2 linked regions of the Neodiprion lecontei genome follow. Each later gene encodes a partner of the first gene's protein in a complex. Links are inferred from orthologs where the notes say so. Each region holds a gene or a part of one and is shown on either strand. Other genes may lie near its edges.

What was found. The genes of interacting proteins can lie anywhere in the genome.
Region 2: cyclin-dependent kinase 8 (region 1) and cyclin-C share a complex: the UniProt entries of both Drosophila melanogaster proteins name them as parts of the cdk8 module of the Mediator complex. The link is inferred for Neodiprion lecontei from reciprocal best matches to the Drosophila melanogaster genes Cdk8 and CycC.

Annotation. Positions count from the first base shown.
Region 1 is NC_060263.1:23,751,275-23,757,876, forward strand, and holds the start of cyclin-dependent kinase 8, read left to right. Parts: upstream 1-2,815; 5' UTR 2,816-2,899; coding exon 2,900-3,030; intron 3,031-3,299; coding exon 3,300-3,402; intron 3,403-5,226; coding exon 5,227-5,337; intron 5,338-5,975; coding exon 5,976-6,116; intron 6,117-6,247; coding exon 6,248-6,437; intron 6,438-6,519; coding exon 6,520-6,602. UniProt on the Drosophila melanogaster protein: Component of the Mediator complex, a coactivator involved in regulated gene transcription of nearly all RNA polymerase II-dependent genes.
Region 2 is NC_060264.1:26,473,252-26,480,076, forward strand, and holds cyclin-C, read right to left. Parts: upstream 3,407-6,825; 5' UTR 3,256-3,406; coding exon 3,224-3,255; intron 3,134-3,223; coding exon 3,027-3,133; intron 2,923-3,026; coding exon 2,716-2,922; intron 2,618-2,715; coding exon 2,366-2,617; intron 2,079-2,365; coding exon of another isoform or gene 2,070-2,078; intron 1,734-2,069; coding exon 1,531-1,733; 3' UTR 1,141-1,530; downstream 1-1,140. Other genes in the region: general transcription factor IIH subunit 4, read left to right, coding at 1-5, 118-291, 389-475, 557-772, 919-1,000; uncharacterized protein LOC107217955, read right to left, coding at 4,227-4,477, 4,634-4,850, 4,964-5,199, 5,472-5,629, 5,768-5,932, 6,038-6,263, 6,344-6,536, 6,613-6,701 and 1 more. UniProt on the Drosophila melanogaster protein: Component of the Mediator complex, a coactivator involved in regulated gene transcription of nearly all RNA polymerase II-dependent genes.

The DNA of each region.
Region 1 (6,602 bases):
CAAAATTTTGCCACCCCAGCTCTTTTGCGTGAGCTATTTTTGAGTGAAAAAGTGCAAGAATCTCGGGGAAGAGTTAGATCTAAAAAATGGCCCTTTTCTGAACCGCCCTATTATATCTTATAAGTGGAGAACTGTTATTTGTGTGTTTGGTACTATGAAAAGAAGTATTGTAATCAATTTCATCCTTGCGGGTGTGTGTTTTTTAACTATTATTTTGCGCATACTTATGTGAGTGGAAGACATTTTCTAAGTTTCTTATGTTTCGATTAAAACGTACGATAAGTTTCGCGGATTCGGCTATACATTTTTATTGTTAATTTTTTGCTGTGATTGTAATCCTCCTGTAATCCGCCGTCGTGGGGGTGCGTTGGAAAACGTTTATATTACTGTTATATGTTACAGAGATAACTAAAAAAAAAAACATATTAAACTTGCCGAAATTATCCGGAAATTTTTGACGCTACCTCCCGGACTAATCGAATGATCCAGTGAGGAAGTGATCGAGTGATCGAGTAGGGTGGCCACAGACCGAGATAACCGGGAACAGTCAGGAAATGTCATCTATCGGGAGAAGTCAGGGAATTATGATGGACCATAGGGAAAGACGTACTTTCTTTATAAATCTTTTGCAACCCTCAACTATGCTTCGTAAATTCAGTTAAGCTAACTTTCGGAAATAGAATCGTTCAATTTCTAATTATTCGTTTGAAACAAAGCAATACTATGTGTTTGTAGATCCAAATTTATGTATTGAAGATGTATCTGTGTATACACGGCTTCTGGAGCTTTTGGTCGTAAAAGCCGACCAACATTATCTAATTTTCGTGGGAATAACGTCAGGGAGTTCTGAATTTGTTTATGGGAAAAGTCAGGGAATTATATTTGAGCAAAATGTCGCCGCTCTGATAATGCGAATCGATTGATCGCGGCTTTAGCTTAGCGATTTCGTAAACGGTATACGAAAAAGTAAAGCACTCTCGATGTGTTAAGCCTTTAGGTTTTCGATCAATTTTTTTTACCGAGTTTTCAACTGAGTTTTCAAGTTTAATTGACCGCGCCTTTTGCGCGTTGACTTGATACCTTTTGATTCTGAGAGAAAGCGTGGCATTTGCAAGCCGACGGTCAATTCACGGGGATAAAAATTGCAGAGTGTACAGTGATAGTAGAGAATCTTGTCGTGAGTATTTATAAAACATACCTGAAGTGTACAAAAGTATTTTTTTGGTGATTTTATTTTATTTTTTTTTCAAGGTAATGAACTAATTTTTTTTACAAGCATACCGTTTTTTACAAGTCCTTACTCGAACAAAATATTTATGCTAATAATTCCAGATTTTTATTAAAAACATGTAGACTTTTTCTTGAATCATAGAAATGCTAGAGTAGAAGACTGTTTTCACAAATGTTGATATTGGGCTCGACATAGTTTTTGTCGATGCACGCACTTTTTTCATTGTGCTAATCGTAACTTCGTCTGTTTCAGCTAATAAAACTTTTTGTCTGTTTCAGCTAATCAAATCTTTTGTATTCCCGATGAAACTTTTTTCACCAACATCTGAAGCGATTTCTGCTATGATTTCCGAAATTGTCAATAAAGCCTTCGTAAATCCTGTTAAAATCGAATTGAAATGTGTAAAACGTCTGATTGGAAAAATATCTCACCCCAGGTGACTTGGTAGTGTGTCTTTTTTGAGGTGAAATGTTTCCTCGATCAGCAATATTTCATGGCACTTCCCAATCGACTTTTGCAGGACTTATCAAGGATCTGTTTAAAATTATGAGGATTCTAGCACAAATTGATTTCGATGTTGGTAGCAAAAGTTACGTCGGAATTACTTCAGTTGGTATTTCCGATGCATCCCAAGTGTTTCCGACGTAACTTCCGTTACCAACATTAGTTTAAGTGTTTTAAGTATTATTGTGTAAGAATGATGTGATTGTTTTATTTCTCGCGGTATGTATGTACAATGTTGACCAATGAAACTTTGCAGTCAATTTTCTTCCAAATCATTCCTGCTGCAATACATCTTTTGTCAATATATTTGTGATTTATTTCGTTACTTCCAATCTTGGAGGATATAGACATGGAGGGAGCCTGGTACACCCTTCTGTGTAAGTGGAAAATGGTAACGAGAAGGAAGTAGTACTACATTCTTTTTCTGTTTTGCAGGCTTAGAATGCTTTTAAGCTTGCAGGCAGCACTCACGCTCGTACCACAGAACCCCGGTGCCTGGCTCTAAGGCTTTGTTAGTTTGACGTGTCCGTAGTCACATACCGGAAGCATATAGGCATTGAAGTGTTACTATTGTTGTACAAAGATACCTATTAAGTTTCATTTATTTACTAAAATCATGTCGCTGAAACGTTGCGTTTCTATCGGACTTTTCGGGGCAAATGCCCGTTCCAGATTTATAAGTTATATTGTTTCGTTTGAAAATATGCTAAACATTGATATTATTGACTGTTTATTTCAATAACTTGACCAATAGGCACTAGTGTATAATATGTATTCATATCATTCGGATTATATCACGGCACTCAATTACGATATGTTCGCACCTACCATAGAAGAAGACCTCATGTATTATTACGACGTTCCTCTCTCTTATTGGCTCGGGGGCACTTTTTCAGCGTGTTGCTTCCTTCCTCTATGTCTATCGGCTCTAAGCTTCTAATTAACAATCTTAGAGTTTTTAATTCTTACGATAAAAACGTTTATGAAGACCGCTAACTCAACGCTGTAGTTTTGAGTTTTTGGCGCGCGGCATTCCACGAGCGTTTCCCTTGTCGTCGACGGCGTGACGCTGCAGCATCAATTTGACGCCCGTGAAAATTCAGCCCAGCCTGCAACTTGGATTGAAAGATGTCATAATTTAGTTTGTATGTACTGACATCAAATATGATGGATTATGAATTTAAAGTAAAAACCCAGAAAGATCGTACGAAAGTTGAAGATTTGTTCGAATTTGAAGGCTGCAAGGTTGGAAGGGGAACGTACGGTCATGTATATAAGGCGAGGAGAAAAGAAGGGTTAGTTTATTCTAACTTATCTAACCTTCAATACTCAAGTGATACGTTCCACGATCGAATATTTACAATACAAGTTGTATGAACCGTTGAGCAATATAAATAGACAAAGTCCGAATAGTCAAAATTAAGTTTTGTATAGTTTTTACGTTTTCTGTTACTTCATACGTCTTTAATTTTGACCAATATTATAGTATTTCTGGTTGCCAATTCAACATTCTTGTATCATTCCACATTTAAAATCTTATTAAACACAGATTTTTTTACTTCAGAGTTCCTGACAGCGAGTTAAAATCACGTCCTGATACTAAAGATTTTGGTCTCAAACAAATCGAAGGGACTGGGCTTTCTATGTCAGCATGTCGCGAGATAGCAGTGAGTAGAGCAACTGTACATAATGACATTTTGATTTAAACGTTTCTAACTTTTGCATAACACTTGGGAAATGACTGGCGATTTTAAGCTATCTACAAATTGTCATTAGCTATAAGCGAGGAAATACAGAAATAGGTCCTTCGCTGATTGATGTTGAGATCTGTCGCTAAAGAGACCAAGTGGCATCTCTTTCACTGCAGTTGCTAAAAGTGACTTGGGTCACATGTTTTTTCTTTGTGAAATGTCACTGAAAGTTGTTTCTGATACAATACCACCATGTATCAGTTTTCGATGGTTCCAAAGTCTTCAAAAGTTAAGAGTATTGAAAAACCTCAAACTTTCTGGATTGCAAAAGTCAGACAATTGTCGGAATGTATTGTGGAATATACATCAAAACTCTGTAATGATCCAGTCACTCATAACACTTGGTCTTCACTAAAGTCAGCCTTTCACTGAGGGTGAAGTTTCCTTTAATTTCTCCAAGAGGATAGGCAGTATCAGTAACCAATAATATTTGATGAAAACTAATCCCTAAAACTTGATGAAAAACTTGTTGAATAAGTTTTTTTTTAGTTTTTTTTGCTATAATTTCCACAGAGATGATAGATTCAGTGAATTGAGACATTTCAAAGTTAGGTATTTAAAATTAATTAGAGGATCCTAAGATGCGGAAATAAAATGTCAGTAGAAACTATAATATAAAATTTTTTCCTCAATTTTGATGTTCCTAATGGTAACTAAAAAATGCTAAAGTGACCAGAGAAAGTATTATTGCTTTAGAAAAAAATGATTTTTTTTTTTTGGAAATATCTGAAATCTATATTGTCCTATATTTCTTTAAAATACACATATCAGCTTTGAACCCTTTGAAGTCCTTTGATTGGGCCTTTTTAGGGGAAGTCAGAAAATTTGCAAAAATTTAGTCCAATGTACTTTATTTCCAAGCCTGTGCAAAAATTTTTGGTGAAAGATTTTCACTTGAGATTTTAAAGCATTTAGTAAATGTAAATATTGAAATTTTTCAAATCGTGGATATTCTTCATGTAGAGTGCTGAAAATTAGATCCCATTATTGTGTAAAAAAAGTGGTGCTGTTACCATTGATTAACCATTAACTTCCCTTAGAAGAAATGGTGGAATTTAGCAAATTTCCCATGAAGTATTTATCTGCACAAGATTACTGATTTAAATACATGTACTCATCTATGCCAATGCCATATGTATAAGTAATTACATATATATCACTATTACACATTATCTGCCTCTGAAAACCGTAATCATGGTTCTACGTTATAACCTGTACATTGATAGGAAGCTCTTAAAGTAAAGTAAGCGGTTTTACGCTACCGACAGCAGAACCTTTACTGTGGGCTTCATTTTTTTATGAACATGTGTCGTCTACTCCATGATTTGTCATTACAAAGAAAACTCATTGAAAATACAGAATTTTAGACCTAGAAATTTGTCAATTCTAGCGGATCTTGATTAAAATATTTGTGCGACTATGTCAGTTTCACAGATGTTTACCAAGTTTATTTGGTAACTCGTATAGTCACTATTTGAACTCAGATTAGTTTTTTTGATTGAATAGTTATTTTAAACTATAAATTAGTTGAAGGCTGGAGTTGACTCAGAAGTAGACATGATTATTACTAGAATCGTTCAATTCTGCAGAAAAAGTGAATCGTCAACCCGTCGAAAATATTGCATTTTTTGTCACTGGATACCTTGTGTAACCTATATCCAAAACACTCAGATTGAAATATAATCTGTACACAAGATTTTTGGATAATAACGACATGTTTTTTTCCCTCAAATCTTATAGCTCCTTAGAGAATTGAAACATACAAACGTCATAACATTGATACGTGTCTTTCTATCACACAATGATCGGAAGGTTTGGCTGCTTTTTGATTTTGCAGAGCATGATCTATGGGTATGTCAATATTCAATACAGTTTTATAATCTAAAATGCATTATCAGAATATTTATATTTTACAATCATAATTTAATTTTGGGTTTTTAGCCATGAAATGAATTAAGTTTCACAAATCTTCTTTTATATTACCGTTCCTTAGTACAGTCATACTTGACATGTACTAATACTTATTCGTAATATTTTAGTATTCATTTCTGATCTGGTTCTGAATGGTCACGATATTATCATGATCATTTGTTGTGTTATTTCTGTGTTCCTTTCCCAATTTATACTTATATCACGTCATCCAATATTGTAATATAAAACCAAGGATATAGAAAGAAAATTATTACTTTATAATACTAGCGGTCTTTCCTCAGAGAATTCCATGCATTCATATACTTTTTGGCACTGTATGCTGGGAGTAAGGTATTTACAGATTGGCCAGAAGTTTTATTTTTTAAATTTAAGCATACTTTTTTGTCTGAGACGTAACATAGAATATTAAGAAAAAGACTCCCAGTTACAGCCTCTGAAAATAGTTTGTACACTTCATAGATTTCACTTATTGTTGAACAAAGTAAAACATCATTTTGAAAAATAGTATCAGAAAAGGTTCTTCAGAAACAACCTCTAATGAATACTCTTAATTTCAGCATATCATAAAATTTCATAGAGCAGCCAAAGCGAATAAAAAACCTGTTATGGTACCGAAGGGTATGGTGAAGTCGCTTTTATATCAGATATTAGATGGAATTCATTATTTACATTCAAACTGGGTTCTTCACAGAGATCTAGTAAGTTGGAATTCGAATATGTAGAACAGTGATGTATATAGAAGTTGGCTATTAAAAATCATCTTAATTATCTGCTAAAATAGCCAAGCAATTTTTCGATCGATTGTGTGTATAACTAAGTATATCTTCAGAAACCTGCCAATATACTAGTGATGGGAGAAGGTGTGGAAAGAGGGCGAGTAAAGATAGCTGACATGGGATTCGCACGTTTGTTCAATGCTCCCCTTAAACCCTTAGCAGATTTGGATCCTGTGGTCGTTACGTTTTGGTACAGAGCTCCGGAGCTGCTGCTGGGTGCAAGGCATTATACAAAAGCAATTGGTATATACCCATACTTACCTGTACAACGGTATTCACAATCTCATAAGAATTTTAATTTTATTTATTTTTTAAACATCCTTAGATATCTGGGCAATTGGATGTATATTTGCGGAATTACTGACATCAGAGCCCATATTTCACTGCAGACAAGAAGATATCAAGACA
Region 2 (6,825 bases), on another chromosome or scaffold:
GGAAGGTAATTATTTCAACAAACTGATGAATCTATTCCACATTCTATCTGCGTGTACATACTGAAAATACTTTATAAATATATTAAAATTGTAATACCGTATGTTTTATTTTCTTAGATTTTACCCTACCAGGCTAGCACTAAACATTGCCACAGGTCAAAATAAGCCTCTGTCAAGTGACTTAGAGAAGGAAGGATATATAGTCGTGGAAACCAATTACAGAGTTTACGCTTATACCAATTCTAATTTGCAAGTCGCTCTGCTTGGTCTCTTTTGTGAAATGCTTTACAGGTAAGCATGGAAAAAATTGTCTAAAGCAATATCAGTTTTTTTCACCTATTCAATTTCAGAAAACCAACTACTGATTTGTAATTTTGGCCGTTTTCAGGTTCCCAAACTTGGTTGTATCCATTTTAACAAGAGATTCAGTGAGGCAAGCTCTGAAGAGCGGCATTACAGCTGAACAAATCGTTGGGTATGTACGTAATAATATTGGTATACGCACATTATTCGATGTTTCATTAATGCCCCAATTCTAAAATCATTTCTTGTACAGATACCTACATCAGCATGCCCATCCTAAGATGATTGCCTTAGGACCACCAACTTTGCCCCCTACCATAGTGGATCAAATCAAGTTGTGGGAAAACGAAAGAAATAGATTTATATTTAGCGAGGGCGTTCTGTATAGTCAGTTTCTTTCACAGACTGACTTTGAAGTACTCAGAGATCACGCGCTCACCACCCAAGTTCTAATCTGGCAAAGCGAAAGGTAATGTTATTATATAAAATACAGAATAGGGATGTGGGCTTATTGTCTAACTTTGGTATAATTAATTTTCATTTATTCTTATTTGATATTAAACAACATAGTATATTCAAAATGAGATGATCATTCTTTCACCATTTTGTTTACAGAAAGCGGACTATGGTTGTCACAAAAGCGGGTCATGATGACGTCAAAAAGTTTTGGAAGCGTTATTCGAAAGGAAGCAGTTGATTTCAATTTTTGCTTTGCTTTGGGCATTGCTACCTGCTGGCGAATTCTTCATCTTTCAACTACAGTATGTCTCACATGTTCAGACTGTGTTAATATTATTTACTTCCTGAATGAGACTACTATTTTCACTTTTTGAGCACTTGTAGGTAAAGTGGTTGCAAAAGTCTGCCACCGATCACTCTGGAATAAAGCGGCGTTGGAGTAACAATAATGCTCTTGATGATAACTATAATTATGCCAGTCCTGATAAGAAGTTACAAAGACCTGGAAGCTAGTGGGATTACAGTGTCAATGATATAAATAATTTCTATGATAAAGGTTACGAAAATAAGGAAATAAATTTGATTAAATTTATCAATATTTGATGATCGTAATTTCCCAAATATTCTCACAGTCAATGTAGCAGAGAGCAAAATAATATTCTCTCATTCCTTACGGTCCAATAATTTTTTATAAAGATTAAGTAATTAATTGTACAAACGATCCTCCTGACGTGATTCCCAGTTCAAAGGATCCGCAGGAGGTTGATGTCAGCGTTGCGGTGCAGCCTTTGGTTTCGGCATTTTGCCCAATAATCCTTGTATTTCTTTCTTCTCGTCATAAGTTCTCCACAACTCGTATAAGTTAATTATGTACCTGGCAATCTCCTGAATCTTTTCCATATCCACATTCAACTCGGCAAACCATGACTTTAAATCTTTTTGCAGTATTACACAGGCAATTTGCAGGCAACCTATTCGTAGAAATATATTAAACAAAAGAAAAAATGAAGAAGAAAAACTGCACTAAACTGGTCAATGTTGATACATTATTATACTCCGTTCAGGGAGAGAACGATACACTTACGAAGCCAAACACGTCCAGTTCAGTCGGATTTCGCCTAATACGCGACCCATTTTACCCACTCCAGGTAACTGGACAGATCTTGCAGCTAGCCAGACCCGGCTACAGCCAACAAGGATAACCAGGTACTCAAACTTAACAGTTACTTCAAATCTAACGGTTGATTTGAAGCCTGATGAATCATTTCAAACCGTCGAGCGTCAGTCGTTGCAAAGTTGCGAGTCAGTTCAAACGTGTGAAATTTGAATTGTAGTTTTGTTATTCTGATTGATTGATACATCCGATGGCAGAAAATTAGCAAAAGGAAGTAGAATAAATTTACTTGAGATATAATGAGACTGCGATATTTCAGAGAGCGTGGCCTTTTGGTGCAGGGCACAAATCTACGATATTATAGGTACGATATTGAGTAGCGAGCTCCGCTACCTCCATCCGACCCCCACTGTCCAAACCTGTACGACGCTGTGTCATCCTCTCGTTGAACGCAGTATAGTTTCAAATTATATGATTTAAGTGTCTCACCGATAGCGATTTGGTACGGGGGATAGAGCAGACACACATCTGTGCGCAAGCTGTCATTGACTATACGCCAAGCTAGCGTGAGCAGCTGATCGTCTGGTCCAACATCTTGTACAAGTGTTAATAGTGGACGATACGGTTGATAGACTATCAGACAGCAGTCAAGGTGTTCCAAAAGATAGAATTCACATTCCAGAATGTGATTGGTTCTATAGGGAAATTCCTGAGAGTAGGCATAGTTGAATTTGTTTTTTACTGTAATAAAGGTTATGGAGATTAGCCATTTAAGAAAGTACAATGTTGAAATGATCTGTGATGTGTGCAGAGACTTTGCCACGTGAGGATAAACTCACCGACAGTCTGGCATGTCGTAATCAGCCTGGTGTTCGATGTGACTCCAAATTCCTCTACCTTAGAAGCCAGAAACACGGAAGTTGGGGCCAACAGCAACGGGTCAATACATTTTAAACTGTTGCGGGCAAAGAACCGTTTAAAATAGACGGTGGCTGTCGCTATCACCTGTTGTCGAAGTTTCAACTGTTCACCCAATATTTGAATCACTATAAAATTAAGTAAACGCATATATGATATAGCGTATACATTGATAGTTCAAAGTATCCAGATTTCACTAAGTTTCAACAAAGAAAGCTTTGACTTTACTTACAGTTTGAAAAAAAAATAAATAGTTTTTGATACTCTTCTTCGGATAAAATAGAAAGGTCGTGCTGACGTTCTCGAACTAAATCTTGTTTATCGAGTAACCATTGTTGGCTGAAAATCAAGAATTAAATAATCAATGAATTGTCAGTTCTTATCATTGTGCATATGGTCCACCGGCGTTTTCAGGTTATTACAACTTACTGATGAGAACTGTGCCAAAAATTTCCGGCCATACTTCTCCGATATATCAACGGCTATATTACCACTGAGCGATATTTCGTACCCACTTTCATTTTCGTTCGTTAACAAATATTTTATCTTTGTGTTCTGATTCGTCTGTATGTGCGACAATTGTATACAAATCATCACAGCCGAGATTCTATTCCGACGGTGACTCTTTTTTGAAATACATCGGGTGTAAGATACGTGAGATAGGATACTCCATTAGACACTTCCGGACAAATATACATCTAACTTTTCATTGGCATAGCACGTTCACCGACTGAAACCTTCGTAATGCAATTACCGACAAGGCGATAAAATCATGTTACCGGAAAAGCACGGTAATGAATAAGAGTTGATCCGGAGTTGATAATCAATACAGTTACTATTAATAGTCATACATCTTTGCACTTTGCGCCAATTTACATGTTTTTTCAATATGCGTTTCGTTAGTAAATCCGCACGTGACGCGTCTTTATTTTTGGTAATGGATATGCACATGGTTTTCGTTCATTATCACTACATGAAGAAAAGAAACATAGGCAATACCCCAGCCGTTACAACTTTGCAACTTCAACTATGATTGCATGAATAGTTTAATTACAAGTCAACAATATGGTCATCGATTATACCAATTATACCACGTCAGCCAGAATGTTGTACATTTTTTTTGTATACATATTGATGTGTAATAATTCAAACAGGTAAATGATAAAAGTGGTTTGATCATATTCCAACACTACATTACAATTCGTTCAATAATACACTCACACCTATACATAAGAACCTTCCGGTTGTTTTATCCGCGTGGTTAATACATTGGCGAGACGGTGAAAACAAAGACGATCAGCGTCCGCTGCACGTTCCACCTGCACGTTATGTAAACGAAACGTAGCGTGGAATCTGGAATGGTGCTATCTCAACAGCTCGGAAGTCCTGAACTTCGGCTGGTACTTCCCTACTAATGATGTTAAAAACGGCATCAGCTGACGGATGAGCTGTTGTGATCAGCCCACCGTACACGTCGGGCAACTTCGAAATTACCACCGTGAATACCATAAAGATGCCTGGCCAATATATCGGCACGATCCTCTTCCGCCCGACGAGCTAATCGTCGGTATCGTTTTACAGCCACCAAACAACCGATCGTCAACATTATTTGAACGATAAGCCAAAAAATCAAGAGACCCAAGGCAAGGCCAGCGTCAACGCAAAGCAGCCCATCCAACGATTCTGAAATAATCAAGATTTATATCCGCATCTCCAAAAAATTTGACAGTATTTCTGGAATTCCAGAATAAAGTGATATGACGCGTACGATGATGGTGATACTATTAAAATCACCACAACGCCATATAATGGGTGAAAGATAAAAATTAATGTACTTACGACCACCAGCAACAAGGATGGTGTCTGGTGCTGAACTGTCCCGCGACAGAAGAGGATCTGGTGAAACTACTGGGCTATGAACGAATATCGAGAACTGGAGAGGAATTTTATCGGGAATCGTCTTCGGTGTTATTTCGGTGACATTGGCATTTGTGGGTGCAGTAGATATCTCTCTACGCCGCCTTCCGTAAGAATATTCATCATTGCTGCAGTGAGCCTTGACGGAAAGATCAAATAATGTCCATACAATGGAATCGTTGTATACATTATAGGGTGGCTTGCTGCTGATGAAGTAACGTCTTAAATCGTCATAATAACTTGAATACATACCGGCTTGCATCTTCCGGTGCAAAACTTTACAACCACGTTGAACCTGACCAATTGGCTATTGGGAAACTTGAAGGCAGTGAATTTTGCGACAAGTGAACTGTTGTCTGTGACATCTCGTACCAGAGCTGGAAAGGTGCTCGTGTCAGTTGGACATCCCATTTCATCGAGCAGAAGATAGGATGAATCTCCTCCAGCACTGCTGGCGACCAAATGTCCGGCAAAAATGTCAAATGGGCCTGAAATTTACGTTTAGTCTTAAAATTACACGTTAAGGTTTCAAATGGAATTCACAAAAGTGTACAGGAAGGATTTCGAGAAGGTCAACTATGCAAAAGACACTCGCCGGCGGATAGGCAACCGAAGTTACATTGGGATACTTATTACAGCTTATTATGTATAAGATGTCACTTCAGTTGCCTACCTGCGGGCGAAGCGTCGTTCGCGTATCAACTATCTAGGTATAAGGAATACTCTCGATAAAAATATATACGCGACAAGAACATCATACCGTCGGGCGGAATTATTTCGATCCTCAGAATCAACTTCTGTCCCAGCTGAGTGACGGTCGCGTCGCGCGAAAGGCTCTCATCAAGTATCCTCATCCTTACCATCGGAGCCTCCGATGATGAGTTTACGACGGTTGAAACGATCGGTGGTAAGCCAGCGCTTGGAAAGTAATGATTATAAAAGAACATGCATTCGAAAAATGGATTAAAACCTAAGCCATGCTTGCGCTCTTATACTTCTGGATTAAAACTTTCTATGGAGACACTGTGAAAATAGAATAAACACCACAATTCTCACTTTGGGTCAATAAAATGTACGTCTGAATGTACTGTGATGTTTCTCGGCTGTGGGGGGTCGTCATTTCCGTCCAGGGAACACCCAACTCTCACCGCCTGGTCACCAAGTCTCTGAATTATTGGATTGAACTGCACGACAACGGTGGCCCAAGCTATGGTGCGGCTCCTGTAGGCGTTCGATTAAATTAAAATATCACTTTTAGCATATCGAAAGTTCAACAATCGATGGAGAAATGAAAAAGTAAATTGCGGACTAGTCTCGGGAATATACCGATTACGGCTGTTCACGGATATGACAGGGCTCAGTCCACATTTGATGGTTCTGCCCATAGTGAGATCCTCGCGATGCGGTAAAACCAGCCTCAGGGATGTCAGGTTTTTACCACTTCCTTGCACTCCACAACGTTCGCCCCATCCACTGACGTACAACCTGCCCCAGAAGGCGTCATCCGTGCTCAATTCAACGGTAAGGCTTTCGTTCGTGCATCTGACTCTCACTTGGATGATTAAAAAGATAGCTACAGTTATCATTTCACGAATTGATTGATTTGGAAAGTATCGGTGAGCATTGACTTACGGTCCAAACAGGGCTCGCGTTCTTTGTAGATTAGATCAGGCACGTATATCAGAGAACTTGGTCCAGCACCGATAGTATCGTCGGCATGAAGGAGACACACCAAATTCGACGCAGTTATTGAATTGTACGACCGATGTACTGTATACCCTCTGCAGTTGAACCCATCCAAACTGGCGTCGCACCTCTCTTCGCACTTAAATTCGAGTAGACGTAGATTAAATGCTGCGTATGAATGTGCATCAATATCTCTTGAGCATTGTTAAACTCACTTGTGTTTCGTCCAGTCCAGGCAACCTCAGATCGGAGTACAGCATGGTTGCGTTTTCGAACTCCGAGTAAGAACAGTAATCAGCTTTGGCTGAAACAACGGTTGATTCCATGTAAGTATGCCGATAAAAATCTTTTAAACATTGTAACAGCTCTTTTCAGCGTCATTTGAGATTCTACGTTAAACTATACCGACACAAATTATGGCACTGATT